7 linked regions of the Daphnia pulex genome follow. The protein of the gene in region 6 purifies or fractionates together with the protein of the main gene of each other region. This does not show direct contact. Links are inferred from orthologs where the notes say so. Each region holds a gene or a part of one and is shown on either strand. Other genes may lie near its edges.

Region 1 (4,142 bases), on a different chromosome or scaffold from region 6:
TAAAACAAACGTACTCGTTGGATGTCTTGGAAAGCACGGATCAACAGCTGCACCAAACGAGTAATAACTCCTTGTTCTCGCAGCGGAGCGTGGTTAGCAGGGCATAAAGCCAGATTACGAACCAACCCGATCAGAGCTAAACAAAAATGGTAATTATGAGACATTTTAAAAGACAAACTTGCTATAATGATACATACCCTTGATGAGTGGCCAACGAGAGGGGGGTTGCAATAAACGGACAATGACGGGCAGTCCACCACTAAGACGAACAGCATTTTGAGCCATTTCAGCTTCAGCGTGACGTGATGTCATGTGACGCAGAGCACATATCTGTAATTAATGGATTTTGTAAGAACCAACACGTTTGTCATTTTAAAAAGATGGATATATTACGGCAGGTTCGGTGATTTCTTCACGATCGCCAGCATGAATAATGGTGCGAACCAGCGCTTCGATACCACCGACTTGACACACAACAGTCTTGTTGCGTTGGTTGTTGCAAGTCAAGTTAGAGAGAATTCCGGCAGCGCAAGTGATTACGTTAACATCACTAGAACCTAACAACTGAACAAGTCCTTGAAGCAGGGTTTCTAAACCTTCTTGCTGTAAGAGAAAAATAAAGGTATAAGCATTGTCCTTAAGATAGGAGCAGAACATAAAATAATTTTTCTTTTAGAAGATAATCACCTGCTTGGTCGCAGCATCGGAAAGATTGCGGCAGGTCCATAAACAGTTCTGAACTAGGCGATGACTTTGGTGGCCCAAGTGCATTGCCAACGCTTGCATACCTCCAGCTTCAACAATAGCTGGTTTGTTGCTAGAACAGACCGACAGCACTGGGAAAAAAATTTATAAATAAATCACGTACATTAAACATTACGGTTTTTATAAATTACCTTTCAAAACTCGTGAAGTGGTCCACAGCAGCTTTTCGTAAGTATATGACCGAAGAATTCGAACAAGTTCCATCGGCCCCTGTGAAGCTAAAATGATCAACTTGGATTCTTGATTGCCATACGCCAGAATTTGAAGACAATCAGTAACGATTGCCAAGAATTTGACATTGTTGCGCTGAAGGAGAGCAACCATCTTCTGTAAACCACCCGCCAAACGAACGGCCATTTTTGAGCCTTCTTGATGGAGCAGCAAGTTGTGCAGCGTCGTGATAGCATAAAAAAGAACGGATTCCACGGGCGAGCTTTTCGAGATGACAAAAAATAAAAATAAGTAACGTTTGAAGAAAGCCGTCAGTTCGGACACATGAAGGATGAGACGGGACAATACCTCAACAGCTTCACCAAAGCTGGAATTCCCCCAGATTTAAAAATAGCCAACAATCCTTGGCGGTGATGTGATAGGTTGTGCAGGGTACCAACGGCACCTTTGGTTGTTTCCAGGTCATTGCTATTGGACAGTGCTCGAACGAGAGCCGCAATCATCTACGATCAAACGGATATGCATTATGAACTTGGAAAATAATTTTAAAAGAAGTGTAACACAGAGTAATAATAAAATCATAGAAACTTTGGTTGCCTGTGGGCTATTCATGATAGCATGGCGGGACGCTTCCTTCTTGGACAACTGGTGAACCATCATGGCAGCATGAGATACGACAACTTGATCTTCATCGTTCAACAACTTGATCAGTTCGGGAATAGCTCTTGTAGCTAGATCAGCATCATCCTACCAACCCAAATATTATTACTTTAAGCAGTTCAAAATTTTGAATTTCAGCAATAATACCTGATAGTTGATCAAATTAACAACGGCATGTTTCAACATTTGCGACGGTTCGGCTAAACGCTGAACAGCAGTTGGCTGTGTGGTATCAAACTGAGTAGATGGAATTTCCATTCCTTCATCCAGTGTCTCTGGAAACATGGCAGCACGAATACGCTGGGAGCGAGTCTGGTTTAACTGAGCATTCATGTCTGTAACAAAGTATTTGATTAAAACATATACCGCAATAAGAATCAAAAATATTTTATTGTTTACCTTCAACTTGGTCTTGAGTATAACCAGCTGAATAGCCACTTGATCCACCCATGTTAAGCATGACTCCTCCTTCAGAAGTATCCATATCATCATCACCACCTCTTCCAGAGAGTGATGGGGCCTAAGAAGTAAACATTTAGTTCGAAAGGTTACCTTCACTCGCACAATTCACTCAATATTTACCTGAGTGGTTGCCCCACTTTGGATTCCTGAATCTCCTACATATCCAGGTTGCCCAACTCCTTGCCACATCAATGTATGTTCCTTAACGCTGGGCATAGGAAGATCAGCAGGGCTATTGCTAACATATTGCCCATGTGACACTATACATACAAATTAAAGAGTTATAATAGATTTAATGAAAAATTTTAATTTAAAAAAGCTCATACTTGGCCTCCCTTGTGCCTGCATCTGATAACTCATGATGCGGCTGTGTATCGACGACTTTGCGACGAGATAACCTTAAATAAAGAAACGAGGGTAAGAACCAGGGCTAACAAAGTGTCGCAACTATGATGAAGTAAACTGCGTGTTTGACTGTCACTTGAGATTTCGACACAGTAAAAAGCCATTCAAAAGTCGAGAAAATTGTTGTTTGCTTTCGAAAAACATTTTAAGTGTAATTTTAAACAATTTAAGGTCACATACCTTTGGAATTTCGATTTGGTGACAAGAGATTAACAGAGCCACACCTGCCACAATCAGAAAACAAGGACCTGCTTCGTTCTGAAGTACTGACGCGTCTAAAAAGCCCTTAAAGATGGCGGCCATCAGCTTGAAACGGAACTATTTTTTTGGCGTTTTCTGTTTTTCTATGGTAAACCAATAAAACCAAAAACATTTAAATATAGCTTGAAATTACGTATTTAATGTGTTTTATTCCAAAACAAAAAAAAATAATAAAACAAATATTTGTGGGAAAGTCCAATAATATTTTAGAATATTTTTTAAAATTTCTAGCGTAGGAATACATAGCTAGTTTCCCCTGCCCGTTTGTCCAGACGGAAAGAGTGGGAGGGGAATAAAAAAAAGTTTCAAGTTCGGAATGACTCACAAATACCATTGAACAAATGATAAAAAAAAGTGCATTGCTTCTCAAGCAGGTTTTTAACCTCTTCCTTTTTTAATTACCTAGATACAGCTATGTAATAAATAGGTTGGCATTTCAGGGGTAGGGAGCCGTGGATTGCTGTCGATTGGCTAAAGAATAAATCGCCGCAATATGAAATTTCGGTTTTTGTACTTTTTTCCCGATATGCAGCAATGAAAAAAACAAAAGTTCGCTTGCTCGCTTAAGATTACATTAACTTCTTCACCTTTTCCAAACTTTAAATGAAATTCATGTAATGACTTCAAGTATAATGTCAAGTAAAAGTGCCCCATAAATCACATACAAAGAGTGTGAAAGGAATCAAAAGTCTTCGTTACCATGCACACCTGCTTTTTTGTGTGCTAGGAACGACTTCAAACTTTTTTAACCCAAAGAGCTTCGACGGAAACTTAGTCGTTTGGCATTGTCAAAAATATCAACTCGTTTATTGAACAAAAAACGGACATATTAAGGCTGTCAAATTTCTCTGCAGGATGTGCCGTTTTTTTTTTTTTTTAATCTATTCTAGATCTAGTCCTTCGATACTTTATATTGACTTATTATTGCACCGCAATGGTACCGATAGCTAATAAATTTCCCGGCTCATTTTACTGTTAAAGAGTCCAAAGTAACTTGTAACTTTACGATACCATTTTCTGCAACAATCGTCTTAAAAGATATTAAAGGTTATTGGTCAACACTATTTTCAGTGTATATTTCCAAATCATTTTCTTTACAAGGCTGAATTTATACAGCAACATTTTCAGTTTTGTTTTTGAATGGAAAGATTAGTGCTGCGTCCATTTGATACTTTTCAAATCAATCCCTTCTTGGACCATTTCCCAAAGAGGACTAAAAGTGGAGAAAAAACATAATTAACATTTTTAGCAGAAATGAAGGAAGTTATTTGTCGGGGAATTCCAGACCCGGGTTACGGTTCGACTTCTTCGAATTCGGTATTTACCTCATTTCCCGAAGTTTGGTGACTTGATGAATACACTTTTGTGCGGTGTAATCAACCTCAGCTTCGGTGGTGAATCGCCCAATTCCAAATCGA
Region 2 (2,967 bases), on a different chromosome or scaffold from region 6:
TGACAGCGTCATGTTCGCAACGTGCCACCAGGACACCACCTCCTGAAAACTTAGTATTAGACTATTTATTTCAAATTCAAAGTTTTAACCTACAAACCTTCATCAAAGTCAGTACACAAGGAATGTTCTCTGTGTTTAGTCTCTTGGTATCATAAGGATCATCTGAGAGCTCCAGTTCATGTTGACATCCGTCCATGGTTGCTTTTTTAATAGATGGAATTTGTGTTGCATAAAGGGCCGATTTCTCAGCCAATGACACTGCATCATAAGGGTTCCCTCCACATTGATTCATGATCTTTTTTAATACCATTAAAATGTTTCATGAGAAATTGTTGATTGGTGGAAATATCACATCAGCTATATCAATATGTCAACATACATGACCCAACATTGCTGTCGTGTCAATAAAGAAAGTTGACATAAATTAATTAAGTATCACCTGAAGCATAGGATCTTTGTAGGAATTTGCAAATTTCATTTTCCAGATGTTGATGAGTTTGCAAGTCTCAGCCTTGCCGATCCACTGGCATTGGAAACTAATGTAGTTTCAAGAATTATAGGGTGATAATCCAGCATTGTTCTACCATCACATCGTAAATCATCCATTGATATATCCAAAGTTGAATTTCGTTAAGTAAGGACAATTTTATTTCAATAAGAGACCAACAGAATTTAATTATTTATACCTGGACTCCATGATGAATGAATGCTTTACGGTATATAAAAAACCGTACGGCTATTGTACCAGCTTTACGTAGTAGGGAAAATAATTTACAATCAAAGGATTATACTACCTACATTATTTAAAATTTGACTACATTTTGCTTTAAACTTGCCTTGATTCAGTTGATTTGATTGATTAGCAGCCAGCCTTGTTTTGTTTTTGTTTTGTTTTTGAATCCAATCCAAGGCCGCGTTGAAGTTCGACGGCCTTGAATTATGGATTGGCGTCAGAACCACCTGTCGGGAGAAAAACTAACTAAAAATAAGCGATTATTTTTTACATTTAAATCACAACGACCCCATTATCTCAATCAAAGCGGGATCACGACGTTGCAATGTAAAAGCATCCCCTCTACAAGACGGTCGCAATTTGAATACCGTGACGAAAACCCCCGCAAATCGCATAAAAGAACAATGGAACCCCCCAAACGAAAATCGTTTCCCTATCTCTCCGAGAGGAACAGCGCCACCTCCCAGAGAGAAATCGAGTAAAAAACCCCGAAAACAGCTATCGAGCCGTAGAAGAAAGAGACGTCGTCGCACAGTCGGAGTAGGAGGTGGGTAGAGTGGGGTCGGGTGGGGTGGGGTGGTGGGTGGGAGGAGACAGGGTCGTTTGCCGATAAATCCCTATCGGGAAACTACACACACTACGAATAAAATTAAAATTAAAATCTCAGTCATCTCCTTCTATTCGAAACTATTTTTTATCGTGCAAACCGATTGTATAAACAAATGGTTCAGCGGGTTCAGCAAATTACTAACATAATTCTTCATTAGTTTTTAGTAGGCCTAGGCCTATCATTTTTTTTCGTAGATATCGATGGTTTACAATAATCGATAATTAATTGTGTTTACGCCTTACAAAATTTGGACACGTGCTAGGCGGATTTCATTGGATTTTTCCACAAAATTAATTGATTATTGACAAAAGCCACTCGTCTTCGAAGGTTCTGATTCTAACTACGGAAAAATGACATCTGATTTAGGTTCACAAGATGGTCTTTTAAAGTCCACTCGGCATTCCACAGCACTGCTCGATGTAGAAGGTTCGAAAGTTAAAAGTACGTTTTCCCAAGTTAATTAGTTTTTATGTTAGGTAAACATATGTATTAAAATTTACTTCTTTATCTGTTTGCAGCAAAAGAAAATCTTGTTTTCTCTCTTCTACAAGAAAAAAAGCGTTCTAATGGAACTTTTAAAATCCAGCCATCTCTGTCTTTGCAGAGGGTAAACATAGAAACAGATTTTAGATCAGAATTAATTTAATAAGACCAAGAGTTTCCTTAAGCTTGAGAAAATTGTGTACTTTAGGTTAAAGAATTTCTACCTCAAATAATGAAAGCAAATGTCAAAGTTCAAGAAGAAATTTTGAGTGATCCGAATAAAAAAACCATCTATGATATACAAAATATAGATGGGGCGAGTGGACCAGTAATAGAAATGGTTTGTATTCACATAAATTAATGCTGAATCTATACAAAAGGTTAAACTCTTAATTGCTTTCCCAATAGGATGTAGCCCTCTATGAAGACACAGACTCAGACTGTTCAGTCCCCTCAACAAATTTAGGCACAGAAACAAATCATGGCCCCATTGATGAAAACAATATCAAATTTCCAGGATCTAGTGTTAAATCAAATTTAGTTGAAGTTATAGAGAAGGATTATGTAGAGCAGAAAAGTGAAATTGTTCTTGATGTCTAACAACTGAAAATAAATTGTATAATCTTCTTCGGAAGTCCTAATTGTTTAATGACCATTGAATTTTTCCCTACAACAAAAGACTGAAGAATTGCTAACCGACAGCAATCACTAAGAGTTCTGGGATTGATTTCATAATCATGCAATAGCCTTTTAACAGCTGAATTGGGTTTAGCCAACTCTTTAGGACGTTTTCCCAAGTTGTCTCTCATGTATACATCAGCACCATAATTCAGCAGCAACTGCACCACCGAAAACAGGTTACGATATCTGCCTTGGCACAAAAATTACGTTAATTTTGTTTTAGTCATAGATACGAACCTTAATGAACTTACGCAGCAATATGAAGAGGAGCCTTATGTACTATTGTGGCATTGACATCAGCACCTAACAGAAAAGCAAGATTTTCTAGAAACAAACAATTAATTGCTCATTAATGGTTAAATCACCTGCTTGTATCAATGACAAAATACAGTCTAAATTAATTTTGTAAGCAACACATGCTGCATGAAGAGGTGTTCCATAGTGTCGATCTGCAGCATTC
Region 3 (2,911 bases), on a different chromosome or scaffold from region 6:
ACACACTCATAGGGCGACATCACATGGCCGAAAATGTAATGGTGATTCATCCTTAAATTATCTCAACTTTGGCTTCGTTTTGGAATCGATAGAGAAACCTACTATTGATCAATGTTGTTCTTACCCGACTTAGATAAATTCTTCAATCAATTTTTTATACGAATGAAAATACACGTTGCAAATCCCAGCACATCGTCGGCGAGGGCTCTGTAAAAAACCGAAGAACAGAACAAACAGTTGCTCGCAGTGCTGCACTGGGGCGCTTTCAAGTGGCAATGAAACGCACTACAAAACCGGTGCATTCTCTTCCTTCCGATGCCTCTTCCAACAACTCTTTCGAAATGTGGTCACGTCGAATTCATTTTTAATTATTATAATTTTCATACACTTGAGAAACAGGAAATCGTATCGACAACTTTTTTTTAACTCTCTAAAATAAGTGAGGTAATTAAACTGAAGATGGAAAGGTTTTTCTAACGAATAAAAATTCAAACGCATGATTTTGAAGTGGGCGGTCATTTTTTAGTCCGGCCGAAATTTTTTTTTTAACACAATACCCGAGTTACAAAATTTCATTAAACGGTTTCGCAATCAATAATGTACGAGTGCCGAAAAAGTTGACATGGTAAAAAAAAAAAAAGTCATTCATCTTCTTGTTTTCAAATTCGTCGACGTTTTGGAGTGATTTGCGGTGTTCCAGGGCTTGGGGCAGTGCTGGCTCTTGTTCTTTTCACAGCTTTCTTTTCAATTGGCTGGGGTGTTTCAGGAACTTTTTCCTTCTTAACTTCTTCCTTTTCCTTCTTTATCACTTTCTTGGATTCAGCATCCTTGAATTTGCTATCCATCAATTCGCCATACTCCTCAGTGGAAAGGACAAAGTCCATTTCTTCGTTGGGGAAAGGAATCGTCTCGTGCTCATCCTAGAGAAAGAAACAAACACTTTAATACAAAACAATACAGTGAATATTAATGACAGTGAACAAACCAGTTTCTTGAGATCGTACAAGCTCGCCAGGTGATCCCAAACACCTTTGGAAGTGACTTCTTTGTTCAGATTCATTGCCAGTTTTTCTACGATGCAGGCCATTTGAAAGTATTTACTAATTCCTGTAAAAAAGAAAATGTTTTAAATATTTAACACAAATTAAACCTGCTGTGAAACAAGTGTAGAAAATCGTCGTCATTTTCAAACGTTTATCTTATTACCTATGGGTCTGGTGCCACACAGAATTTGTAACAGCTGCAATTCGTTATCGACGGTACCCCATTCCACTTCTGCAGCCTCCAAAGTCTCTTCGTTTCCTTCAGTTTTTTCTTTAACGGCCATATTTCAATCGATTTTAACTGAGTACGTTGATATTGAATGGAGATTTCTCCGACGTTCGACTAGTGGTTGAGGAAAACGAAAATAACAACCGGCTCCCTTCTGACAAGTGAAAATACTACACACACACACTCCGCAACGCCATCTGTGATTTGGTTTTGGTAGGATTAGGTGCGTCTGCTATGCTAGCAGACACGCCATCTGTGATTCAACTATTCAACTGCTAGTCAGTTTGTTTTTGTTTTTTTTCTTTTTCACAATTTAATTAAAAAAACTGTTGTTGTATAAATGTTTCATAATTGACCCGACAGAAATTAATTCAGTCAGCCAAAATGGAGAGAAAACAAAACAAAACAAACATCCTGTTTTATTTAATCCAGCGACGTTAGTTAATCGTTATCTGAACAACACCAAGATTGTCGAATGATAAATCAGGCACGGTTCTTAGAATGTCCTGGGCGAAACATTCCGACGAAATACTTTTCCCATTTCCCGTGTCCATTTCCCAAGGTCACAACCAGTTGAATCATCACGATCACGAAGCGTAAGCAGAAAATGGGAAGGAAAAGAAATAAAATAATACGGAGGAGAGTTTTTTGGCGTTGGTGTGTGTGTAAATGCAAACGAAATATCCGCCCTGTAAAATCAAAATAAAATAAGCGGAAAAGAGTCCCGACACAAAACAGCCATTTCCTCCTCCCACACGGAATAAATGCTGGTGAACACAAAAAGAGCTATTGGTCAATTTTTTTCCTCTCCAAACAACTGTTATTACATGATATAACTGCCGTGCAGGCCGGCCGACTCCATTGAGGCGTAGAAAACCAGCCAGCGTTTATTTCAACGGTGAAAAGAAAGCAAAATAAAAAACCCATAGAAATCGCTTCCATCTCTCTTCATTGTCTAGTACTAAACTTTTGTGTATTGCCGTTTAGCCCCCAAACATTTCCCAGCTCAGCCAAAGAATTTACAAAACACACACACAGACAAATTGACTATCATTCAGTTTCAGCTTTTTCCTTCTACAAATTTTGGTTTTATTGTGCGAAACATTGGCCGGCAAACGGGAGAAATATCACACAACACGCCGGGCTGCCCTGGAGAAGAGAAAAAAGAATGAAAGGGAAGCGGATCATTAAACGACGCCGGATCATTTAAGGACTTTTCCGGAAAGAGAAGAAAAGATCTAGAGGGAAAGAGACGGGAATTTTTTGTGTTGTTTTTCAAAGTCTGCCGGGCAGGCTGGGCGCGCTAACGTTGGTTGTTTAAGAGGTCTGCTGATCTATTTGTAGTGATGGTAGTTGTGGCTGCTGCTGCTGTTCCTCCTGGGCAGCCTGAGCGGATGTCAAAGCCGCCTCCTGCGATCCGCCCGCGTTTGTTTCGTCTTCGTCAGCTCGGTCCGTCTTGGCGCTCCTTGGTTGGCGTCGTCTAGGTTTGGACTGCTGGTCGAGGCCGTCTCCGTTGGTCGCCGCCCGTTTGACCAGTTTGCGGTGTCGGTTACTGCCGAGGTGTTCTTGCCACTGGCGCTGGCCGACCGTCACCTTTTCGCAGAGCGGGCAGTGAAAGGACGTTTGCTCTTCCCGCGTC
Region 4 (3,685 bases), on a different chromosome or scaffold from region 6:
CACTTTCTATCGACTCGGAGTTCGTTACATGACTCTCACCCATTCGTGTCCGACTCCATGGTATACACATCTAATTCTTTAACTGTCATTTATTTGATCAATTATAATTTTTTTTTTAAATTATTCTTTAAGGGCTGACAATTCACAGCTGGATAACCCGGGTCAGGAACCTATTCACGACGGGCTTACCGGTTTTGGAGAAGTATATTCCTTATTTTTTAAATTGCTGTTATTCTTGATTTTTAGACAAGTTTTTGTCCGTTTAAATTTATTAAGGCAATAGTCCAAGAGATGAATCGTCTGGGCATGATGGTGGACATTTCTCATGTGTCGGTCTCGACAATGGAAGACGTATTGAACGTGTCAAAGGCGCCCGTGATTTTCAGTCACTCGGGGGCATTTTCTGTTTGCAACAATACTCGAAACGTGCCCGATCATATCCTTCGTCGATTGGTTAGTCCTACCATCAATTTTCTTTAGTCATAATTCATATAGCTTTCTGTGCTACAGGCGAAAAATGACGGAATTATCATGGTGGTATTTTACAACGAATTTATCGCCTGCGGTCAGTCGGCAAGCCTCAACGATGTGGTGCGCCACATCGAACACATTCGTAATGTTATCGGGGCAGATTACATCGGACTCGGTGGTGACTTTAACGGAGTTGACAGGTAAATTATTTATTAACAATACAAATGAGCAGGGAAAATAAGCGGTTAATATTTGAAGGGTTCCCACTGACTTGGATGATGTTTCAAAGTATCCCAACCTCTTCGCGGAATTGTTACGTCGCGGTTGGAGCGAAACAGATTTAGAAAAATTGGCTGGTAGAAATATGCTGCGCGTGATGCGTCGTGTTGAGCAGGTACAGTACTTTGTTATTTATATCACGCCACGCCTTCTTTTCAAATTAATTGTTATCAAAATGCTGATATAAGGTTAAAATGGAACTCTCATCCATGGAGCCGATTGAAGAATGGATTCCGGCCGAAGACCTCCGACCTGAGCACAAGCAATGTCTCACCGAGTACAGTTAATTTCTCATCGTTAGATTTCTTCACGGTTGATTCATCAGCAGGTTCTAAGAATTTGAACCGCGCAATTTAAATTTGTATTCTCCTCCACGCGCGCCATAGCAATCGTTTAAAATTACCCTCGCTTGATTCCGTACCAAATTCTATTATGATTGTCAATCGAAAAGAGAAACTTGCGTTTGCTTCACGCTCAGTCATCACGTCAGTTTGAATTGAATTGCTAGACTGAATTATTTGATTTCAAAGAAGATAGTATCAGGTTTGTGCAAAAATGTCTAGACTGCCAAATAAATAGCGCTTTATACATTGATAATTTCTTTTTACTGCATTAACATTTATGTAGTTAAAATTTCACGGTTAAATGTCTCTAGCGTAAATGTCGAGATATTTCTTTTTTCAAAAATCTTTTCGCGGTTTCCTAGTGTTCGTTCAATAGGTTCTCGGTAGATGAGGTTAAAGTCGCTTATTTACATGTGCTCTTTTCTTCAGTCGTCTTCTCTTGAAAATTGAAAAATGATTACACCACGTTTCAAGCTCAGCCAAGATGAAAATTGCCTATTTGTCACGATTCACGCACCCTTTTCCAAGGTATCAGACGCAGAAATTTACATGGATGGTACTGATTTTCGCTTTCATTCAAATCCCTATTACATTCGCCTTAACTTGCCGGGAGAAATAATTGAAAACGACGAGGCTAAAGCTAATTTTGATGCTGAAACAAATGAATTCAAAATCACGTGTCCAAAAGTAATAAAAGGAACACATTTCCAAGGACTGGATATGCTTACGAGTCTTCTGGCACCCAAAGGAAAAAGAAGTGTCGACAGCAAGGGAATTGAAGTGCTTGAAGAAACCTGCTCAGAAGAGGACTCGGAATCAGATTTTGATTGGTTCTTGGAGCAAAAAATTGAAGAAGAATCATCAGATTTACCAGCTAATGTTTCGAAATATGGTTTTGGCTTGAAACATTCCGGACTCTTTGCTACATTGGCTGAGGAACTGCATCAGGTTGTGGATGTCAAAAATCCTGACAACCAGTCAGCCTCAGAAAGAAGAATAGAAAGATTGGAACAAGAGAAGAGAGAATTTAATGCAGAACACTACTTGGCTGATTTTTTCCAGACTGACATGATCGATCCTCTAATTGAATACCTACCTTCAAGCAGGATTGGGGAGGAGTGGACAGAGGCAGAAACTATCCTCTTAAAAACCCTCACCAACAAAGAATACCTCCTGGATCATGATCAACTACAGTCCACATATTTGGGTTTGGTTGATATTTTGCTGGCATATTGCTACGATATGAGAACCACCATGTCCGACCCCAACGTCGAATCAGCATGGACCATAGCAAAAATTAGTGGAACTTTATCTTGGCTTGAGGTATTTTTCTTTTTCTTTGTTTATTCTCTTTCGAAATTACGCTTAATCGACTATTTGATAAAAATTTAGATTTTCACTTCGATTCGCCAAGTTGTAGATTGCTTTCTTCGTAGAAGTCTGTGTTTTCCCTTATTTCGAAACTTCAAATTGTCCATTAAAGCCATTGAAGACGCCTCAAATATTCTTAAAGAAGGGCGGACGTCAGTCTTGAGGTGTTTCTTACAAATTCATCAGCTGTTCAACAAAAGTGATCCTCGATACCTTCTTAATCAACTGTACATTCGAGACTATTGTATCTGGATACAAAAGTGTAATGACGAGACACTCGCCTCGCTAAGCCAAAGTTTAAAATCGGTAATGATTGTAATTTATGGAATACCAAATTTGTCCTGCTAATTAAATTGTCATAATTTTAGATGGAATTTACCAAAGAAGATGTTACGTTAAACCTTGTTGATCTTGAGCGGGCCGCAGTTAACCTGATGTGCTATAGTGACGACTCGTCAGAAGAATCGGACCTCGAAGAACAAATGGCCCATCTGTCACTCAAAAAGAAATCCGCTTCGAGCGCAATGCCGATTGATCTTCAGGTTGCAGCGGAAGCCGCTCGAATGAGCTCGGAATCTGATTTGGATTCTGATGATGATTCTTCATCCGAAGAAAGTGACTGATTAAAGATTCCCTTCCAATTTCTTGACTTGATGAAAAGTGTATGCACAGATAATGGAACTTCACCATAAGAGGAATACAGTTGAAACTTTTGGTATACTCCTTTTTATCATTCGAATAAAAATGTTGGCACAAGGAAGAGGAACAACATCGATCCTCCGAGTTTAAAAGGCTATTCCTTGAGCCTTAGATTTCTTTTTTCTTTATTTTTATTAAAAGCTAGACAGAACTTCTAAGAGTGTTATCGCTGCGGGCCTGGTAGAGGAATGGAAGCCGGAACTAAGACTAGCCAGTAAAATGCTTTCACATTTATGTCAGCGCCGCCTTTTTATAAAGCCCATATCAGAATTATAGTCTTTACTCTTTAGTGTCTGTAGAAATTGATAGTAAATGTTTTTTTTTTTCGTTTTTCCTGTTCTTATTTCTTAATAACAAACGAAAATGAGGACGCGTACATATTAAACACGGACATTGGATTATTTACATTTAAATTGGCTATAGATAACACTTAGCAAGATTAAATAAAACAACCTGCATAAGTTTGAACGAGAACGACTAAACAATTGTAAAAAGCAAAGTTTTTGCGTCTTTTTTATTTA
Region 5 (4,275 bases), on a different chromosome or scaffold from region 6:
GTTGTTGTTGTTGTTTGTTCCATCACCAATCGGCCAATGTCTAAACGTTTTCTTTTTGTCTTTTTTTCGCGTCTAGCCAAAATGAATCCCGACCGATGTCTGAGTTGCCGAATTTTATAATTGGGGTGGAGATTGTTGGCTCGACCAATGTCGAGGTCTAATAACATTCCGTCATCACCACGAGACTTGATTAACAATCAATCATTTCGTAAGTCTAATGTGTCCAGGAGTCCAGTGAACTACAATCGCTTCATCCATGTCGAAGGGTATTGTGTAGTAATGAATGCCGTCCAATAATCATTGCGATCCATTAAGCCTTGACTCCCGACAGACTACACCGCCGTGGCAATGCACACCGGACAGTATAGTGACCCCCCCGCAGACACAAAAAAGATGATGGATAGAAATTTAAAAAGAGAAAAACAAAACAAACCAAAAAAAAAAAAAATCTCAGTCAGAGTCTGTCGGGCTATTGATTGGACACCCCCACGGAAAATTCACGCACGAGGAATAAGGAGGAGGAAGTCGATTGCTGCTGTTGGCCAAGTCTAAATGTGTGCAGCGACATTCAACCGGGTACATTCTATCCGCCTACACAATGGATGACATTGCTGCAAACAACAAAAACAGAACAAGCAACTCGAAGCATCGCCGATAACGGTGATTATATCCCGAATAAAAAAAAAAAAAAGAACCATCAACCGAGAACCCATGGACAGAAGGAGAACTCTAGTTGGGCTGGGCTGGGCTGGTCTACATCACCGAATGGCCGGCATTGATTTTGTCGATCTGCCCATATCATCCCAAGTATTTTTTGGGTTTTTTTTTTGTGATTTCCTTTTGGCAACAACAAACCAACAAGCGAATATATAAATCGGGGTCGCTCGTCTGTAGACTCGTCTGCAGATAAAGACGTCTAATATATCTTTCCATACGAGTCGGCAGCAATAAATCATATAAGGGCACTTGCCCATCCAGGGGGCTTCCATCGCCCGGCAAAACTGAAATTCTGCACTGTGTGCGTAGACATCAGACGACTGCTGAGATTTATTCCGTTATTCAATTCAAAAACATGACGGCATTTTACTCCTTATTTCGCCCGCTTTGATTGATATTATCGCCCGTGTTCGACTGACTTTGTTTCTCCTACAAAATGTTTTTTTCCGTCGTGGACCCGACCTGATAGCGACTGACACGTCATCTATATAAATTCACAACTAGATTTCAGTTTCCAGTGCACAAGCAAAAAAACAGCGCCAGAAACATTTCCTTATTCGGGTAGGGAAAACCCCGCCCTCAACGGGATTCCCATTTGCATTTTATTACGCTGTGAATTTTTTTTTTCTCTTTTATTTTATTTTTATTTATTTATTTTTATTTTTATTTATTTTATTCATTTTATTTTATTTTCATTTTTTTTGCCACTCATAATCCACCTGCTAGCTGGTAGATGGCGCTGTTCTTAAATTCAGATTTCATTGGCACCCGCTAGATGTCGCTAGTGTCGCTCGTTTTGAGCGCGTGCAAATCTGTACGCATAGTAAACGCATTTTCTTGAAAGGCCCGGCTTTTCTGAAATTCCCTTTTGAAACAGCTTTATAACTGTGAGTGTTGGGTTAAGCCGAATACCGATCGACAACATCCAAAGTATCTGCCCAATTTACAGACAGCAAACGACTCAGTTGACTGTCAAGAATGGACGCCGATCTCTACGACGAATTCGGCAATTACATTGGACCCGAACTCGAGTCAGATGAAGACGAAAATGAGGAAGGAGACGAGGCTGATCACGATGACGAAGCCGAAGACTATGGTGACAATGATTCCGAAGAGGCCATGGATCAAACGGTGGTTGATGGCGACGCACAGATGGCCATTGTTTTGCATGAAGACAAAAAATACTATCCATCAGCGTTGGAGGTTTACGGACCTGGTGTGGAGACACTGGTGCAGGAAGAAGATGCTCAGCCCTTGACTGAACCCATCATCGCACCTGTCAAACGAAGGAAGTTTCAGGTACCACAAATTGTTTCGCTGCCATATTTCATTTTGTTGATTAACCTGTTTCCACCCATTTTCATTAGGTTGCTGAGCAAGAACTCCCTGAAACCACGTATAACATGGAGTTTTTGGCTGATCTCATGGACTCTGCAGAACTTATTCGTTCAGTGGCCCTTGTTGGTCATTTGCACCATGGCAAGACTTCCTTCATGGATTGTCTGCTCATGCAAACACACCCAGATCTCCAGACGGGAAAACCTGGCAGTGGAGAGGAGAAGCCTGTCAGATACACAGACACACTCTTTACTGAACAAGAGAGAGGTGTTTCCATCAAAGCGACGCCCATTACCGTGGTCATGCCCGACCTGAACGAAAAATCCTTCCTCCTCAACATGTTCGACACACCTGGTAAATTACAGTTTTCCAACTTGCAAAATGGGGGGGAAAAATGTATTTAATCGATTTTGATGTTTCTTAAAGGTCACGTCAACTTCTCAGATGAAGTCACGGCTGCCCTGAGACTTTGCGATGGTATCGTCCTCTTTGTCGACGCTGTCGAGGGTGTCATGCTCAACACGGAACGAATCTTGAAGCACGCCGTCCAGGTAATTAAAAAAAAAAAAAAACTTCAACTTGGTTATTCCAAGAATTTCTTTTTAACCCTGTCCTTTCATAGGAGAAAATGGCCATCACAGTTTGCATCAACAAAATCGATCGACTCATTTTGGAGCTCAAGCTGCCACCTCAGGACGCATATTACAAGTTGCGCTACATCATTGAAGAGATCAACGGTCTTTTGGGCCTGTACAGCGACGAAGAGAATCCAAAATTCGTGTCGCCCTTGTTGGGCAACGTCTGCTTTGCTTCTGCCCAGTTCTCCGTTTGCTTCACCCTTAAATCCTTCGCCAAACTTTACAGTGACACGTACGCACACGTCCACAATGGCAATGACGGTCTTAAATGAAACTTCATTTTCTTTCATTTTAGATACGGATCCGATATCAACGACAACGAGTTAGCACGTCGTCTGTGGGGTGACATTTACTTCAACAGCAAGACGAGAAAGTTCACCAAAAAGCCGCCACATAGCTCGGCTCAGCGAAGTTTCATCGAGTTCATTTTAGAGCCGTTGTACAAAATCTTTGCCCAGGCATGTACCAAGGACAACTTTGCAGTTAATTTGAACAGTTGATTCATTTCCAATATTTTTTGCTTGTTTAGGTTGTGGGAGATTTGGATTCGAGTCTACCGCAGTTGCTGGACGAACTTGGCATTCGCCTGACTGTCGAGGAACAGCGGTTAAACACTCGCCCCTTGTTGAGACTGGTCTGCAGTCGCTACCTGGGCACTTTCAGCGGTATGTCAATTAAAATGTATGTTGAATTGAAGCAACGGTCTTTAAATGTCAATGTTTGACTGGTGTGTGTAGGTTTCGTGGAAATGTGCGTCAAACACGTCCCGTCGCCCGTAACGGCTGCTCGCACCAAAGTGGAACACATTTACACAGGTCCCCTGGAGTCCATCCTGGGCGAAGACATGGTCAACTGTGATCCCAACGGCCAACTGGTTGTCCATACTACCAAACAGTATCCCACAGAGGACTGCACTGGATTCTATGTCCTGGGTCGTGTCCTGAGTGGGACCCTTCACGCTCACCAGAACGTCCGACTCCTGGGTGAAAACTATTCGCTCAATGACGAAGAAGATTCACGTGTGTTGACGATCGGTCGACTTTGGATATACGAGGCCCGTTACAAGATCGAAGTCAATAGAGTAACGGCAGGCAGTTGGGTCTTGATCGAAGGGATCGATGCCTCAGTGGTCAAGACGTCGACCATCGTCCAGGTTCACGTCGACGAGGACTTGTACATTTGCCGACCCTTGAAATTCAACACGCAATCCATCATCAAAATTGCCGTTGAGCCGGTGAATCCCAGCGAATTGCCCAAGATGTTGGACGGTCTGCGTAAGGTTAACAAATCTTACCCGTTGCTCTCGACGCGAGTGGAGGAGTCGGGCGAGCACGTTATTCTTGGAACAGGCGAACTTTACCTGGACTGTGTCATGCACGATCTCAGGAAAATGTACTCGGAAATCGACATTAAAGGTTTGCCATTCATTTCTTCCCAACTGTTAATTCTTCTAATTTAACTAATTCACTTTGGTTTTTCTTGTAGTTGCTGATCCTGTGGTGTCTTTTTGCGAAACGGTCGTGGAAACGTCCTCACTGAAATGTTTTGCCGAAACTCCAAACAAAAAGAATAAAATCACAAT
Region 6 (4,122 bases):
AAGAACTAATCTGTGTACTTTTATGGATTGACCTTCAGCAGCCAGGACTACATCTACCAGACTTTCTCTCACGAGCAAAGAGTCGAGGACGGATACCAGAGTACTGTGATGATTGTTCCATTTGAGACAAAACTCTTGAATGTCGTGCTGGCCCATCATCGCAGGCACACACGTCCACCTGTTTTAATTCGGAAATGCACAACCAGACCCTTGGTATTTTTCACCAAAGCCTTCGTGAGATAACAACAACAATTCACCCCTATGAGAAGACCAATTTATGGCGTTGGCGAAATTCTGAGACCAGTAATTCGAACCAGCTTATGATCCAGTGAGTTAACAATCCAGCAGGTGTGTTGTGTATAAAAATTCACAAAGATTGAAAGACGCCATCTCTAACAAGTATTTTTCGTCTGCTATTTGGCGCGGCGTCGTTGTCAAATCAAAATATCCGAGGTGAAATTTTTCCCCTGTTCAGAATTCAATCAATGTTTTTAGTAAAGCTCGATCCATTTTAATGTATTTTAATCGTTCAAAACGGCTTCCTGTTTTTATTTTGTACACCCGTTTTTAGATGAAAGAAGTTAAAAGTCCGTAACTTTTGAGAGAGCAGCTATCCAACGACACCAAGTTTCGAATAGAAAAGCGGTACACAGAGCTAAATATGTTGGTCATGAGAAATGTGTTTAGAAAAATGGAAGCGGAGTAGCGTGACGAACTGAATTGGTTATTCGTGGAGGATAATTTTATTAAGAAAAATGGAAAGAAACACACAGACCAGCAAATTTGACTCGATTCCTCATTTCATGTACTTGTCTTTGTCTTGCGTCAGGATCTTGGCTGATGATTTGGCATCGAGAAACAGACCTCCGACTTCTTTTATATCTTCATTGGTGATGGAAGAGCGACCGTTAACTTTAGCTGTCAGGGCGCCGGGTGTAAGTAGCTGAACCGCATACCTAAACCAAGAACATTTGATTGTTTAATAAGATCATTTTTTTGCTTTACAATTTTTGTTCTTACCTCAGAGTAGTTCGATTGCCAAGTTCACCAAGAGCTTGGAGGGCATCGTCTTCAATGCTCAATCCTTCTGTTTTGGCACGAATGCGGATAATTTGTACCATCTCTTCGGCGGTGTACTTCATCGTCCGAAGAATGAGAAGTCTGTCGAGTAGATCAAGAGGAATACCATGTGGAGCCACAATATCATCGGTACCCCTGACTGTGCACATGCCTCGATTAGTGGCAAAGATAACGATGGGGGCGATAGCCGATTCCAGCGCTTTTTGGAGATAGGTAAAGCATTCCATGTCCTGAAATTCAATTAAAATCAATCACTAACTTTGAATATCTTTATTTTTATTGGTCTATTACCAGCATGTGAACTTCGTCGATGAATAACACGCCGGGTACAAGCTCTGCAATTCCCTGGTCAATGTACTTGTTGACTACCTTGTTGATTTCTCTCCTCAGCTTGTCTACAATTAAAATGTAAATTTAAATCTTGGTAAGCATTTTTGAAGTATATGAAAATATTACCTGTGATTTCGGTTTTTTTCGGCTTCATTAGCTGTCCCATCATGGAAAGAATGTCTTGGCCTCCCTGTGGGCGGGCATTAGCCACGTCCAAATCGTGTAGGGTGACGTCCTGGACAATTTCTTTCTTTTTGTGAACATCGCCTTTAGGAAGAGGGACATATTCTTCGGCTTCGAGATCGAACTCGGTGGCAAACGTATCAGATCGGCCTTGACGTTTAACCGCTCCGCTATTGGCTTCAATGTAAATGACGTCACCAATTTCAACACGTTCCTTCTGGAGAGATTCGTAGATGGAAGGATCCAACTTGAGCTGCTTTGTTCCTTTAGCCGTCTTCAGTCCAATGATTACATGACTGACAGTTTTGCCATATCCTGTAAAACAAATAACTGGTAGTAAAATTTGTCATAAAAATCAACTGAGTTGTTAACTTTTACCTCCCATAGGATTCTCAGTTTCAACTGGGGTAAGTTCAATGACTTCTCCTTCATAAACTTCTTTCGTTTCCTTGATACGAAGGCCAATAGCTCTACGAAAGTTTTCCATTAAAACTTCAGTTTTCTTGATTTCAGTGCTGAAGACTTCTGAGCCCACCATAGGACAAAAAGGAACCTGTATATGAAATTTTAATTTTCAATTTCTTCAACTTGTAAACAGTTAAAGCAGGACTGACCTTGTTGCCTAAATCTTGAGCAATTGCCATGGCGAGGGCAGTTTTGCCAGTTCCTGGTGGCCCGGCAAACAACACAGCCCTTCCAGCCATACGTTTAGACCTGATCAAATCCACCACCAAACCAGCTGCCTGTGAAATGTAGAGCAAACAGTTGTTGAGTACATTTCTCTTAGAAAACTGAAAAAAATTGTGTGTTACCTCTCTGGCTTGCGTTTGGCCAACAAGGCCGGCAGCGATGTTTATGGCATTGCCGGATTCATCCAAACCGAGACCCTTCACGTGGCTGTGAGCCGAAATTCTTTGAGTTTTGACCGTGCTTCTAACTTCTTCAATCTTCATTTTGTTATTTATAAAAGACTTGCAAATTTACAGAAAAAATGTGGACGCCTTAAGAAGAACACGAGACGAAGTTGCTTCAGGGTTTCTATGGTAACAACCGGCAGTCCCGCCAGATTAAACGCCACCTGGTAGACCTTGACTCAACTGTGTAGTAAAAGGATTTTTTTTTAAGCAGAATGTTTTTTGTTTTTTACCCTTTTTTAAAAGAAAAAGCACCATGGAAGAAAATTTACATGCAAATCATTCTGTAAGTTTTAAATTATCAAGCACCAGGATTCGGCAACCAGGCTATCGGGTTGATGGGGTCCATGGGGATTGGCTGCTCACTGAGATCTAAGATGATTTGAGTGGTTGCCGAAGCCGTTAAACGAAATTAAACTGAAACACCTGTCGTCTGGTAAACAAACAAGCTTGTTCTTTCTTCTATTCATTGATTCATTTCGATTTCATGTTTCACTGGGAAGTGCTAAAATCTTTTACATCCGTCGCAGTAGTCAAATTGTTACAAGCGTGTGACGAAAGTCGTGAAGTTTGTCTGCAGTTATTTCCTCAATTTCAAACACAAACAAACAATTAGCCTATACGAACCCCATTATAGACTTCAAACGTGCCTTCACTTAAAAGTACTAATTAAAGAATAGATCCAACAATAGTTTCGTTTATCTATTTCGTGTATGACCTACACATTTTTCATACACACGCAGGAATAGGCGAAGGAGAGGTGCGGCAAAGTAGACACGCTGCAAGTTCGATGACTTGACACATAACACGCATTGATGCTGTAGTCTTTTTTAGAATGTTGTCGTCTTTTTAAACACAGAGTAACAGAATATTTCATGGCTGTTGTTATTTTGTTGTCTGGTATTTTCGGCACATTGGAGAAAGAATAATGGAAACCGTTGTTTTCAAACTCGTTATCAGTAAATATTAGAAAGCTCGCTGTTTCACTGCTGAGCGCGAGCACTCGAACGTGAATGTGCCCTCAATTTTCTCAAACTGATTCTCATTAAAACATTATCTGGTGCATTCGCATGCGATTATTTGCTAACTAAACTCTCCTCGCTCCAGAAGGTCATATAAAACAAAAATGGAGATGAAACTACTACCAAAACACCTTTTCGTTTCGAAATGGATTAAATACTGAGCTCGATTTGACATACAGAACCCGTTACAAGGTATATTTTTATTTTAAAATGATACATCACATTCTTATCGGTTTTTTTAACAATAATTCTTTATTAATTAGTACTTCAAAATGCCTTCCGATTAAGAACGAGAATGATCTTTGACGCCTTTTGTGGAATTTGAATGATTGGATGAGTTGGCGGAAACCTGGCTGAATGATCCCTCATTGCAAACGGCGGTGGGAGAAAGTCAAGCCCATATATCTTGCAAGTTTGTTAACACTTTCACTTTTGTACTTATCTCTTCTTACTTATACTTACTTCTCTTTGAACCAAAAAAGGATGAGTCAAGGGCCTCAAGAGAGGCTAACGGCATACAGCAGTACCTTCAAGTGCTCGTACTAGCTACTGAAACCCGTTGGATATGAAACCACGACAATATGACACTTCAC
Region 7 (4,012 bases), on a different chromosome or scaffold from region 6:
CAACAACGTGAGGCTAAACCTTTTCGAAGACGCACAATCCATTTACCACCACAACGATTGGCATCATCCTGTTGGGAAAAAAAAGTAGGTTAATAAACACTTCACCACCCTTATTATTATTTAATAATACAACCTCCCACATTGGTTTGATTCCATCTTTAAATAAATGAAAGTCACTGTGACCAGAGAGTTCACAAGGCCTGACCAGATGGCAATAGTATGACCAAAACTGTTCTACAGAAGCAAAACGTCCAACCATTCTTAGATTCTGATCAAAGCTTTGGGGTGCTGCATGTTTTCCAGGAGCTCTCCGACTAAACCACAAACAGTATGTGTATCTAAAAACAAATGGTATTTCTATAATTAACATGTACTAATAAAAGTAATATCATTTTCATGTGTACTGGAGTGGATGTTCTTCTCGAGGAACTTGAATGGGTTGCTGAAAAAAATTAACCTTTAAATTAGTAGGAAAAAATGGGTAAGTGAGCACATAAATTCGTCTATCGCAATTATCACATCATTAACATAGAGTTAATAGATATTACAATAATTTTTTGTGTATTATGCAGTTAATATCTCACCAAAATTAAATCCTTTTTCTTTCTTTCTTCACTGAATGAAGTTTCGTCGTCATCACTGTCTTCGCTGTTGTTCAACCTGTCGAAAAGCAACAAAGTAAACGCAAATTCTATTAAAACATGTATAAAATTTGAAAACTTACGCATCAAATTTATTGTTATTAAGGGCCATTTGTAAATAGTTTACGAAATCGGAGTGTTACAGTCAAATTGTTCACTTAATTTATACACCAATTTGCAGCATGTAGTAGAAAGACTAAAGAAAGAAACAAGCAGTATGTCCAGAAATGTTGTACAAATTTTAGATGGTGAAAACACTAAACAGTACCCACACTATAGAGTAGCGAAAAATTGCCACCAGTTGCCACCAGGTGACCTTCAAGAGGTTTTGGCGCCACACACTAGAGTACCCTTCCCAAAGCCAAAGCGCCACGGCCCACGGGAGAAAGATGTTATAGTTATTGTAACTTCTAATGTAATGGTAATAAAGAGATAATTTGAACCATTGAATTTTAAAATCAAGTAAAATATTGGAAATACATGTCATAGCAGAAAAAGTGACTTCGTGATTAATTTTTTTCCAAAAATAAGAATCAAAAATCAAATGGCAACGCTCAACACTTCCGCTCATTGGTTTCTTTTTTTGTAGCAGAGGTTTTTCAACACATTAGATCAAAGACAGGACTTCGAACCACGTGTGAAGCACGATGCATTCATCTGGTAAGCGCCATCACATAATATAAATTTTACAAGCTAGTTATAGGGATCGATTATGTGTTTTCACATGGAAAAGATGCATTGTAGTTTGCTGCACAAATAGTATGATTCGAAATTTACATTAATTTGGTTAATTCTGTGATCTACGGATTAATGTTGGTAACACGTGTCGGTTAATGTTAGCATTCCTGTGTTTCAGAAGTCCTAGGAGAGAAACAAAGTGGAAAGAAGTCAAGAAAGTCCTTGGGAGATATTCAAGGAGATTCAGACTTTGTGTTGGAGCCATCAGAAAAACCAGTAGCAAAATTGGACTGTTCACAATGGCCGCTGTTACTAAAGGTATGTTGTTAAATATTAAATTAAATGTAGATGTTCTCAAAATAATTTATTTTAGTATCTATCTATACAAGCATTATGCTAAGAATGCTAATGATTAATTTATCGAAAGTAGTGGACTGAAAAGACTGAAGACACTCAAAGATAATGAAGCATTTAAAACTAAATTCTTAAAATTTTTCTAGTTTGAAACTTGATCTTTATAGATATTAATTTTTCCCTTGTTATTTATTAAGAAATGTGAACATTTTCTAAATCATCTTTTTTTTTCAGAATTTTGACAAGTTAAACACAAGGACAAATCATTATACACCTCTTCCAAGTGGTTGTTCACCATTGAAGAGGCCAATTAAAGATTATATTCATGGCGGTTTTATTAATCTTGACAAGCCATCTAACCCAAGCTCTCACGAAGTAGTTGCCTGGATTAAGAGGATTCTAAGATGTGAAAAGACGGGTCATTCAGGAACATTGGACCCTAAAGTTACAGGTATGTTGATAGCACTCAGAAAATCCCATGGACTTTACTAATTGAATATTATACAGGGTGTTTGATTGTTTGCATTGATCGTGCTACAAGGCTGGTCAAATCTCAGCAGGGAGCTGGCAAAGAGTATGTTGCCATATTTAAGCTTCATTCTGCAGTTGAAGATAACAATCAGGTAGTTTCTTGACCCTTCTAGTTGAAAGCCTTATGCTAAAGATGCTAATGATTAATTTATCGAAAGTAGTGGACTGAAATGACTGAAGATAATTAAAGATAATGAAGCATTTAACTGAATTCTGTTAATTTTTTAAGTTAGAAACTTGATCTTTATAAATACTAATTTTGTATATATTTTTTTTATTTATTAAGATTCCTCGAGCTCTTGAGAAGTTGACTGGAGCTTTGTTTCAGCGTCCACCACTGATCTCGGCTGTTAAGCGACAACTTCGTGTGCGAACCATTTACGAGAGTAAATTTTACGAGTACGATGCCGAGAGACAAATGGGTATCTATTGGGTTAGCTGTGAAGCCGGAACTTACGTTCGTACCCACTGTGTCCATCTCGGTTTGGTGCTAGGCGTAGGAGCTCAGATGGCGGAACTCAGAAGAGTTCGTTCTGGTAAGCCAGGAAGTTTCTTTTTGTGTGTGTTCTTAAGATGAAGATTTTATTTTTTATAAGGTATCCAAAGTGAAAAAGAAGGGTTAATGACTATGCACGATGTAATCGATGCGCAGTGGTTACATGATAATCATAAGGACGAAACATATCTGCGGCGGGTTATTCGTCCATTAGAGGCATTGATGATGTCTCACAAGCGAATAATCATGAAAGACAGTGCTGTAAGTGTGTTAATATTTATCTATAATATTCTTTATAATAATGTGTTAAAAAAATATATAACAGGTTAATGCCGTTTGCTATGGAGCTAAAATCATGTTGCCTGGTGTATTGCGGTACGAAAATGGTATCGAACTAAATGAAGAGATTGTTATAGTAACAACCAAAGGAGAAGCAGTGGCTCTCGCCATTGCTTTGATGACGACAACAACCATGGCTTCATGTGACCATGGTATTGTTGCCAAAATTAAACGTGTTGTCATGGAGCGTGACACTTATCCCAGGAAATGGGGACTTGGACCTAAAGTAAAAATTGATATAGTTTACATTGGCGTTACTTGTATGTATATGTATGTATTTGTTTAATTTTAGGCTTCCGTCAAGAAGGGTATGGTGAAACAGGGACTCTTGGATAAGTTTGGCAAACCTAATGACAAGACACCTAAAGATTGGTTGACATCTTATGTAGACCTAAAGTATGTAATTCAACGCAGTATTTGTATCAAATTTTTCAATAATATTATATTTTTCTGTAGCGTTAAAAAAGAAAAGGTTGAACCAACTGAAGATGCTGAGGCACGAAAAAGAAAGTTAAGTGAAACGAGCGCCGTTGCTGATCCGTTGTCAGAATCCATGACGGAAACCAAGGAGAAGAAGAAGAAGAAAAAGGACAAAGACCGGGTAAGTGTTTATACTCTTGTGAAATAATGATGTCTTAATCATTTATGGATGATTTTCAGGAGCCGCAGGGTAATGAAAGCATTCTTGATGCCACCGTAGAATCGGTTCCTGAAACCAAAGAGAAGAAAAAGAAGAAGAAAGATAAAACAGCTGAAAATGAAGACCTTTCAATTGCAGTGGACACATCAACAATCAAGGTAAATTAAACTTGTCAATTAATTTTTTTTTTAAACAAAGGTGTCGTGATTATTTAATGAAAGTAGTGAACGGAATATTTCTGACGAAAATTACCTAAATGAAAACATACTGCAAATATTATTCGCCGAGTAATTTGGTATGCATTAGTAATGTGAACATATTTCTATTTAGGAG

The links.
Region 1: the proteins of ruvB-like helicase 1 (region 6) and armadillo segment polarity protein-like purify together in Homo sapiens (affinity purification with mass spectrometry; 6 studies listed by BioGRID and IntAct, with this or other methods). This does not show direct contact. The link is inferred for Daphnia pulex from reciprocal best matches to the Homo sapiens genes RUVBL1 and CTNNB1.
Region 2: the proteins of ruvB-like helicase 1 (region 6) and NOP protein chaperone 1-like purify together in Homo sapiens (affinity purification with mass spectrometry; 4 studies listed by BioGRID and IntAct, counting the BioPlex papers as one, with this or other methods). This does not show direct contact. The link is inferred for Daphnia pulex from reciprocal best matches to the Homo sapiens genes RUVBL1 and NOPCHAP1.
Region 3: the proteins of ruvB-like helicase 1 (region 6) and MRG/MORF4L-binding protein-like purify together in Homo sapiens (co-immunoprecipitation; 6 studies listed by BioGRID and IntAct, counting the BioPlex papers as one, with this or other methods). This does not show direct contact. The link is inferred for Daphnia pulex from reciprocal best matches to the Homo sapiens genes RUVBL1 and MRGBP.
Region 4: the proteins of ruvB-like helicase 1 (region 6) and protein SHQ1 homolog purify together in Homo sapiens (affinity purification with mass spectrometry; 3 studies listed by BioGRID and IntAct, counting the BioPlex papers as one, with this or other methods). This does not show direct contact. The link is inferred for Daphnia pulex from reciprocal best matches to the Homo sapiens genes RUVBL1 and SHQ1.
Region 5: the proteins of ruvB-like helicase 1 (region 6) and 116 kDa U5 small nuclear ribonucleoprotein component-like purify together in Homo sapiens (affinity purification with mass spectrometry; 4 studies listed by BioGRID and IntAct, with this or other methods). This does not show direct contact. The link is inferred for Daphnia pulex from reciprocal best matches to the Homo sapiens genes RUVBL1 and EFTUD2.
Region 7: the proteins of ruvB-like helicase 1 (region 6) and H/ACA ribonucleoprotein complex subunit 4-like purify together in Homo sapiens (affinity purification with mass spectrometry; 4 studies listed by BioGRID and IntAct, counting the BioPlex papers as one, with this or other methods). This does not show direct contact. The link is inferred for Daphnia pulex from reciprocal best matches to the Homo sapiens genes RUVBL1 and DKC1.

What each region holds. Positions count from the first base shown.
Region 1 is NC_060020.1:4,722,842-4,726,983, forward strand, and holds the start of armadillo segment polarity protein-like, read right to left. Parts: upstream 2,801-4,142; 5' UTR 2,644-2,800; intron 2,457-2,643; 5' UTR 2,419-2,456; coding exon 2,385-2,418; intron 2,319-2,384; coding exon 2,179-2,318; intron 2,117-2,178; coding exon 1,996-2,116; intron 1,932-1,995; coding exon 1,744-1,931; intron 1,684-1,743; coding exon 1,525-1,683; intron 1,440-1,524; coding exon 1,285-1,439; intron 1,199-1,284; coding exon 897-1,198; intron 837-896; coding exon 688-836; intron 604-687; coding exon 394-603; intron 331-393; coding exon 198-330; intron 137-197; coding exon 15-136; intron 1-14. Other genes in the region: cysteine desulfurase, mitochondrial-like, read right to left, coding at 3,874-3,937, 4,050-4,142. UniProt on the Homo sapiens protein: Key downstream component of the canonical Wnt signaling pathway.
Region 2 is NC_060024.1:614,494-617,460, reverse strand, and holds NOP protein chaperone 1-like, read left to right. Parts: upstream 1-1,413; 5' UTR 1,414-1,693; coding exon 1,694-1,784; intron 1,785-1,861; coding exon 1,862-1,950; intron 1,951-2,034; coding exon 2,035-2,166; exon of another isoform or gene 2,167-2,234; coding exon 2,235-2,426; downstream 2,427-2,967. Other genes in the region: eukaryotic translation initiation factor 3 subunit D-like, read right to left, coding at 1-42, 98-142, 585-606; ankyrin repeat and SOCS box protein 13-like, read right to left, coding at 2,423-2,693, 2,759-2,810, 2,873-2,967. UniProt on the Homo sapiens protein: Client-loading PAQosome/R2TP complex cofactor that selects NOP58 to promote box C/D small nucleolar ribonucleoprotein (snoRNP) assembly. Acts as a bridge between NOP58 and the R2TP complex via RUVBL1:RUVBL2.
Region 3 is NC_060018.1:12,249,322-12,252,232, forward strand, and holds MRG/MORF4L-binding protein-like, read right to left. Parts: upstream 1,474-2,911; 5' UTR 1,328-1,473; coding exon 1,207-1,327; intron 1,108-1,206; coding exon 986-1,107; intron 921-985; coding exon 660-920; 3' UTR 501-659; downstream 1-500. Other genes in the region: tRNA dimethylallyltransferase-like, read right to left, coding at 2,590-2,911.
Region 4 is NC_060022.1:3,500,960-3,504,644, forward strand, and holds protein SHQ1 homolog, read left to right. Parts: upstream 1-1,480; 5' UTR 1,481-1,547; coding exon 1,548-2,417; intron 2,418-2,486; coding exon 2,487-2,771; intron 2,772-2,833; coding exon 2,834-3,088; 3' UTR 3,089-3,185; downstream 3,186-3,685. Other genes in the region: dipeptidase 1-like, read left to right, coding at 1-60, 133-202, 277-453, 511-671, 730-865, 939-1,037. UniProt on the Homo sapiens protein: Required for the quantitative accumulation of H/ACA ribonucleoproteins (RNPs), including telomerase, probably through the stabilization of DKC1, from the time of its synthesis until its association with NOP10, NHP2, and NAF1 at the nascent H/ACA RNA.
Region 5 is NC_060028.1:8,367,506-8,371,780, forward strand, and holds the start of 116 kDa U5 small nuclear ribonucleoprotein component-like, read left to right. Parts: upstream 1-1,475; 5' UTR 1,476-1,695; coding exon 1,696-2,016; intron 2,017-2,084; coding exon 2,085-2,409; intron 2,410-2,481; coding exon 2,482-2,606; intron 2,607-2,677; coding exon 2,678-2,925; intron 2,926-2,988; coding exon 2,989-3,151; intron 3,152-3,222; coding exon 3,223-3,358; intron 3,359-3,430; coding exon 3,431-4,108; intron 4,109-4,178; coding exon 4,179-4,275. UniProt on the Homo sapiens protein: Required for pre-mRNA splicing as component of the spliceosome, including pre-catalytic, catalytic and post-catalytic spliceosomal complexes. Component of the U5 snRNP and the U4/U6-U5 tri-snRNP complex, a building block of the spliceosome.
Region 6 is NC_060023.1:12,188,576-12,192,697, forward strand, and holds ruvB-like helicase 1, read right to left. Parts: upstream 2,679-4,122; 5' UTR 2,547-2,678; coding exon 2,406-2,546; intron 2,337-2,405; coding exon 2,208-2,336; intron 2,147-2,207; coding exon 1,972-2,146; intron 1,909-1,971; coding exon 1,537-1,908; intron 1,476-1,536; coding exon 1,372-1,475; intron 1,311-1,371; coding exon 1,021-1,310; intron 957-1,020; coding exon 797-956; 3' UTR 501-796; downstream 1-500. Other genes in the region: longitudinals lacking protein, isoforms A/B/D/L-like, read right to left, coding at 1-159. UniProt on the Homo sapiens protein: Possesses single-stranded DNA-stimulated ATPase and ATP-dependent DNA helicase (3' to 5') activity; hexamerization is thought to be critical for ATP hydrolysis and adjacent subunits in the ring-like structure contribute to the ATPase activity.
Region 7 is NC_060025.1:6,908,890-6,912,901, reverse strand, and holds the start of H/ACA ribonucleoprotein complex subunit 4-like, read left to right. Parts: upstream 1-1,212; 5' UTR 1,213-1,288; coding exon 1,289-1,301; intron 1,302-1,497; coding exon 1,498-1,637; intron 1,638-1,907; coding exon 1,908-2,124; intron 2,125-2,180; coding exon 2,181-2,296; intron 2,297-2,490; coding exon 2,491-2,740; intron 2,741-2,800; coding exon 2,801-2,961; intron 2,962-3,025; coding exon 3,026-3,265; intron 3,266-3,331; coding exon 3,332-3,435; intron 3,436-3,495; coding exon 3,496-3,640; intron 3,641-3,699; coding exon 3,700-3,837; intron 3,838-3,903; coding exon of another isoform or gene 3,904-3,906; exon of another isoform or gene 3,907-4,009; coding exon 4,010-4,012. Other genes in the region: eukaryotic translation initiation factor 4E type 2-like, read right to left, coding at 1-68, 134-338, 405-457, 585-660, 725-753.